Linked DNA regions of Callithrix jacchus. The protein of the gene in region 1 interacts with the protein of each later gene in a biochemical or structural test. Links are inferred from orthologs where the notes say so. Each region holds a gene or a part of one and is shown on either strand. Other genes may lie near its edges.

What was found. The genes of interacting proteins can lie anywhere in the genome.
Region 2: of the proteins of CHEK1 (region 1) and CDC25A, one has a biochemical effect on the other in vitro, tested with the Homo sapiens proteins (7 studies listed by BioGRID and IntAct, with this or other methods). The link is inferred for Callithrix jacchus from reciprocal best matches to the Homo sapiens genes CHEK1 and CDC25A.

Annotation. Positions count from the first base shown.
Region 1 is NC_133511.1:25,243,875-25,247,374, reverse strand, and holds part of CHEK1 (serine/threonine-protein kinase Chk1), read right to left. Parts: intron 2,618-3,500; coding exon 2,429-2,617; intron 367-2,428; coding exon 262-366; intron 1-261. UniProt on the Homo sapiens protein: Serine/threonine-protein kinase which is required for checkpoint-mediated cell cycle arrest and activation of DNA repair in response to the presence of DNA damage or unreplicated DNA.
Region 2 is NC_133516.1:30,863,477-30,866,976, forward strand, and holds part of CDC25A (M-phase inducer phosphatase 1), read right to left. Parts: intron 1,966-3,500; coding exon 1,846-1,965; intron 1,500-1,845; exon of another isoform or gene 1,439-1,499; intron 1-1,438. UniProt on the Homo sapiens protein: Tyrosine protein phosphatase which functions as a dosage-dependent inducer of mitotic progression. Directly dephosphorylates CDK1 and stimulates its kinase activity. Also dephosphorylates CDK2 in complex with cyclin-E, in vitro.

The sequences.
Region 1 (3,500 bases):
AAAACTTTTATTTTTAAATAGAAAACCACTTAAAAGCATAGATTCAAGTTGCTCTGAATATACATTCCCCAAAATATTTTTAAAAATCTGTTGCAGAGTTCTGGGACTAAAGAGTTATTTTTTCCTTTTTATTTACAATTAATAATTTATAAAAATCATGACATAAATTTAAAAGAAAAAAAAACATAAGAAAAAATTCAAATAGCATTAGACTTCATATCCAAGAAATCAATACTCTTTCACTCAAGATAATCCAGTTACCTAGAGGAGCAGAATCAAGTTTTTTCCAAGGGTTGAGGTATGTTTTTTTTTCTTTCCAGTCAGAATATTCCTGACAGTTGTCACTGGGTTGGTCCCATGGCAATTCTAAAAACAAAGCAAGTTCATTTTCTTGAATGTTCTTATTTACAAAGATTTCAAGGAAAAATAATACAAATCCATGAAAAGTTCCTTTGAATTAATTCAATACAGTTTTCAAACTAAGAATCCCAACTTGGAAAGTTTAGAGACACTTCAAAGATAGATAAATCAGGACAGGCATGGTAGCTCAGGACTGTAATTCCAGCACTTTGGGAGGCTGAGGCAGATGGATTGCTTGAGCCCAGGAGTTTGAGACCAGCCTGGGAAACATAGTGAGACCCCAACTCTACAAAAAATAAACAAAATTAGCTTGGTGTGATGGCATGCATCTGTAGTCCTGGCTCCTCAGGAGGCTAAGATGAGAGGATCACTTGAGTCTGAGAGGTCAAAACTCATACCACTGTACGGCAGCCTGGGTGACAGAGCAAGACTTTGTCTCAAAAAATAAAAAAATTGATGAATCACTTCTTGCCCTAGTCTTGTTTTCAAAAGTGTTTACATGATCCATAGAAAAGTACTGTGATATTTAATAAGTATGCATGCCTCATCTTAAAAAAATATTTGGGATTATAAGTAAGTTACTACTTGCAACGTACTAAACATTTGTGTCCCCCTCAAAAGTCATGTTGAAATCCTAACTCACAATGCAATGGCATTTGGAGGTGGGGCCTTTGAGTGGTGATTAGGTCCTGAGAATGGCATCCCTCAAAAAGTGGTATTAGTGCCCTTATTAAGACCTTATTAGTATCTAATAAAGGCTCATGTGTCCAGCCAATATTGTGTTTTTATAGGGTACTAATTATGTAATTCCAGCACTTTGGGAAGCCAAGGTAGGCAGATCACTTGAGTCCAGGAGTTTAAGACCAGCCTGGATAACATGGGAAGACTGTCTCTAAAAGAACACAAAAAATTAGCCAGGTGTGGTGGTGCACACCTGCAGTCCCAGATACTCAGGGGACTGAGGTGGGAAGATTGCTTGAGCTTGGGAGGTCAAGGCTGCAGTGAGCCTTGAATTGTGCCACTGCACTCCAGCGTGGGCAACAGAGTGAGATCCTGTCTCAAATAATAATAAAAAAAAACTCAGACACAATGTCTCACAAGATCTGGTCAACAGACACACACACACACACACACACACACACACACCCATACCCTCCCACCCCCAACACAGTACTTTGGGAGGCTGAGGTGAGCAGATCACTTGAGGTCAGGAGTTTGAGACCAGTCTGGCCAACAACATGGTGAAACTGTCTATACTCAAAATATAAAAATTAGCTGGGCAGGATGGCACTTACCTGTAAGCTGGGAGGCTGGGGCAGGAGGATCACCAGACCCAGGAGGCAGAGGTTGCAATGAGCTGAGATCATGCTACTGCACTCCAACCTGGGTGACAGAGTGAGACTCTGGTCTCAAAAAAAAAAAAAAAAAATACTAGAGGGCTTGCTTCAGCTCTCTTGGCTGCCCACCATGTGAGCATACAGCAAGACAGCCATCTGCAAATCAGGAAGAGGACCCTTACTGAAACATGACCAGGCTGGTTCCCCTAATATCATACTTTCAGTCTCCAGAACTGTGAGAAATAAATTTGATGTTTATAAGGTATGTAGTCTATGATACTTTGCTACAGCAGCACAAACTGATCAAAACACTATTAAAATACTGCTACAGAAGCTGAGTGCCATGGCCCACGCCTTTACTCCTAACAGTTTGGGAGGCGAAGACAGAAGACTTGCTGGAGGCCAGGTGTTTAAGATCAGCCTGGACAACACAGCAAGACCCTAACTCTACAAAAAATTTGTAAAACTTAGCCAGACATCTTGTGGCTGGCAGCTGTGGTCCTAGCTACTTGAAATAGTGAGGCCAGAGGACTGGTGAGCCCAGAAGCTTGAGGCTGCAGTATAGCTCATTGTATTCCAGTTTGGGGAACAGAGTGAGACCCTCTCTCTTAAAAAAGAAAACAAAAAACCATTATATAAATATGAATTCCTTGGTTTATTTCATTTATTTCAGAATAACTAATCTGACTTTTCATAGGACAGGAGTTTTACCATGATTAAGCAGTTCTTACCTCCAGCGAGCATTGCAGTAAGTACTATTCCACAGGACCAAACATCAACTGGTTCTGCATGAAATTCTCTTTTCTTCAGAAGTTCTGGAGCAACATATGGTAAAGTACCACACATCTTGTTCAACAAACGCTCACGATTATTATACCGAAACACTGTTGCCAAGCCAAAGTCTGAGATTTTGAGGTTATCTAAACCAAAAGAAAAAAAGATGGCACTGAATAAAAATGTTTTGCAAATAGATATACTTGCAGGAATAAGTTTTATTGAGAAAAAAATCACTAATGTTACTTAAAGTTTGTAGAACTTCAAATAAGCAAAATAAACAAATCTAAAAAAATAAAAGATATCATCACCTATGCTAAAAGTAGAAAAAGGCCTCATCTCTTCTATTAACTTAAAAGAAGTATTATCAACATGCAAAACAGTCTGGATCAGATTAAAGCAAGAAAGTGGAGTCAGAGGGGCTGCCCTTCTGGAAAAGAGCACTTTAAACTTGAGCTGAAAGCAAAGCAAAGCCCTTCATCAGGTAGGGTGGAGGGCAGGAAGGTAACCTCGGTAATATGTTAGGCACAACTTTCTCAGCAGCAAACAAACCCAGTTAGCAGAAGAAAATATCTCAAGACCAAGCAATATTCAACAAACCACAATGCTTTTTTTTTCCTTCAAAGTAGGGAGTCTGAGAAAAAGAGGAAAAACTCTGTACCAAAAAAAAAAAAAAAAAAAAAAAAATCAGAAAACCAAACCTCCACCCTAACTTCCCATCATTAATACACACAAACTGCAAGCAGGACTTAACTTATATTTAGTGAATATCTACTGCAACTTAGTGATAGACACTATGCCAGCCAATGCAGGTAGCAGATAAACCAGTAAAGACTGACAATAGAAAACTGTTATGAAGATTATAAAAATATAGAGCACCACAGGATCTTAAAGCACTACAGAATCTAACGCAGTCTTAAGAGTTAGAAAAAGCCCCCTATTCTCAGAAGGCATTTTGGCAAAACATACTAAAATGTGAAATACTCACTCTTTGAACTAGCAATTCCCACTTCTATATCCATAGGAATA
Region 2 (3,500 bases), on another chromosome or scaffold:
CTGCTAACACTAAATTCTTTTCTAGGCACTTTCAAGCCCAGAAAAAAAGCTTAGAGCTATTTTTTCACAGTAGCAATGTGGTTCCAATGTTAAGCCCTACAAGTAATCTTTAAAATCCAAATCTCTGGTGTATGAATCTGTCATTAGTTAAGTGGCCCTCCAGTTTTCTGACTGGATCATGCACCAGGGAATCCTCTCTGCAGCTGGCCTATTCTGGTTCTGAAACTAGCTTTGCTTCGCAATATAAAACAAGCATCTCTGGTCCTCCCCAAGAATACCTGACCACACTCTGGGAAACGGCAATTTTTTTTTTTAAGCCAGCTGAGCCTAGGGGTAGATAACTTTATCACGAAGGCTCACACTATATCACACCAACTTTTGTGAGGATTTTCTGGGATCCCTAGGTGCAGATATGATACAGGCTCTAGTCTCTAAGCACACACAAAATATATTGTTTCTGATACCCAACTCTTAAAGTGTTACTGTGTACCTGGGAATTCAGAGATTGCTTTTTGAGACAGGGATTCACTGTTGCCCAGGCTGGAGTACAGTGGCGTGATTGTAGCTCACTGCAACCCCGAATTCTTGGACTCAAGCAATTCTCCCACTTCAGCCTCCCAAGTAACTGGGACTATAGGAACAAGCCACCACACTCAGCTTGTTAACTTTCTACAGATAGGGTCTCACTATGTTGCCAAGGCTGGTCTTGAATTCCTGACCTTAGGTGATCCTTCCGTCTTAGTCTCCCAAAGTGCTGGGCTTATAGGTATAAGCCACCACGCCCAGCCAGAGATTATTAAATCCTAGTCTCCTATTTACATATCCTTTGGTAAACCTCTCTTGTACTTTCCTAATCTGTCAAGGGGGTTAACTCCACTTACTTCACAAGACAAGAAGATATATAAAAGTGCTTTGTGCAAATGCTAGACAGTAGCGATACTGGCTGAACCTTAGAACACAAGCAAGGCTGGAAAGGTGTATTTTCAGATTTAAGAATCTAGGAAAACCTGGAAGCCAAATGTGGTTATCTTGCTCAAGTTGGGCCTCTCCAGTCAACAGATGCTATCGGTTAATTCAATTCAGACCAATAGCAGGAAACTTTGGAAGTAATGACAGTCTCTGTCTGGCAAATACACAGCCCTAAAACAAGTGACTCCAAAACTGCCCAGCAGTCTGAGTGTTCACTGGAATCCATAATAGTTATTAAAAAAAAAAGAGAGAGAGAGATGGGGGTCTCACTATGCTGAGCAGGACTCAAGTGATCCTCCTATCTCCATTTTCCTAAGTGCTGGGATTATAGGCATGAGCCATGGCACCTGGCCCATAACAGTTCTTAACAAACCACCTTTGGAAGAAGTCAAGTGCTCTCTCACCAACAGTCATTCTTTGAGAAGCACTTAGAATGCATAGTAAAAGAGCAAGTTTTAAGTAAGAGATCTAGTGTTACACTCTTTTAGAATTTGCCTGGTAGGCTTTGCAGTTTTTACCAGAAAGCCCCTCAAAAAAAAAAAGTAAGAAATGTAATCCCACCATACATACATTTAGGATGACCCAAGATCTCCTAGATTAACAAGGTCAAATATTCCTTACACAAGTCCAATATTTCAAACACCATCTCCTGCTCTAACTACAGTCTGTCTACTCTCCAGACACAGCAAAACCACCAAGAATGTTCGATAGTCTAGTTTCAAAAGACAAAGTCAAGGTAAAGACAAAGTCAAGGTAAAGACAAAGTCAAGGTAAAGACAGCTGGCGCTACTGTAGTGCCTTCAATTCTGGATTACAGAGGGTGTTTTAATCCTTTCTTCCTGTCAGTAATTCCTCTATGAGAGCCAGAGCACATACCATCCGAGCTGGGTCAGAGTTCTGCCTCTGTGTGAAGAGATCTTTACCCTCCTGGAGTCCATGAGAATGCAGGCAGCCACGAGATACAGGTCTTACTGGCTTCTTAAACTCAAAGGCTTCCTGCAAGACATAGTCGAGACATCTACTGTCCATGATAACCAGCTCTAGGGCCTCGGCTTGTGTTAAAGAGGCAAGAGAAGGCCAGGCGCAGTGGCTCATGCCTATAATCCCAGCACTTTGGGAGGCCGAAGTGGGTGGATCACAAGGTCAAGAGACTGAGACCATCCTGGTCAACATGGTGAAACTCTGTCTCTACAAAAATACAACAATTAGCTGGGCATGGTGGCGCGAGCCTGTAGTCCCAGCTACTCAGGAGGCTAAGGCAGGAGAGTTGCCTGAACCCAGGAGGCGGAGGTTGCGGTGAGCTGAGATCACACCATTGCACTCCAGCCTGGGTAACAAGAGCGAAACTCTGTCTAAAAAAAAAAAAAAAGAGGCAAGGGAGTAGACACTGATCACCTTTCTAACTGCTCAAAATTAAAGTTTCACCTAATTTCAACACTGGATCTGTATAACTAAGAATCTCCAAGGCTCTGTCAACAGCTAACTTCTAAAGTAACATTTTCTTGTAATACTGCATTTCCTAACACAAGTATCTGCCAAATATACGAAACACAATAAATGATAAGCTAAATCACAAACTTTCTGAAATCTAAAGTGAAAATAGCCAGGCGCGGTGGCCCAAGCCTGTAATCCCAGCACTTTGGGAGGCTGAGGCAGGTAGATCACAAGGTCAAGAGATCGAGACCATCCTGGTCAACATGGTGAAACCCCATCTCTACTAAAAATACAAAAAACTAGCTGGGCATGGTGGCACATGCCTGTAATCCCAGCTACTCGGGAGGCTGAGGTGGGAGAATTGCCTGAACCCAGGAGGCGGAGGTTGCGGTTAGCCGAGATCACGCCATGGCACTCCAGCCTGGGTAACAAGAGCGAAACTCCGTCTCAAAAAAAAAAAAGTGAAAATAAATAAAATCTAATATAGTTGCCTATGAGTAGTAGTCAAAATTTTCCATCTAGATCCATCTGTTTGAGGGCTTCATATTTTCCACCTTTTCCTACCAACTGGAGATAATTTTTTCTACTTAAAATTATTATTTGGCTGATCCTGGTGGCTCATGCCTATAATCTCAGCACTTTCGGAGGCCAAGGCAGGTGGATCACTTGAGGTCAGGAGTTTGTGATCACCCTGGCCAACATGGTGAGACCCATCTCTACTAAAATACAAAAATTAGCTGGGCATGGTGGCGTGTTCCTGTAGTCCCAGCTACTTGGGAGGCTGAGGCAGGAGAATCACTTGAACCTGGAGGGCAGAGGTGGTAGTGAGCTGAGGTTGTGCCACTGCACTCCAGTCTGGGCTACAGAGCGAGACTCCATCTCAAAAAAAAAAAAATAATTATTATTATTCTATTCTATACTAAAAGCAATAAAAAAAAAAGCCCTAGTGGCATATTCAATATGGATGATTCTTACAAGCATAATGTACAGCTTTGCCCTGGTAAAAAGGACTACAGAGGCTGATGCACTGTTCTAAGCACTCCAGGCAGGAACTCATTTCCATAGTCTTTCTCATGACATTTCCCAAGTTGATAAAG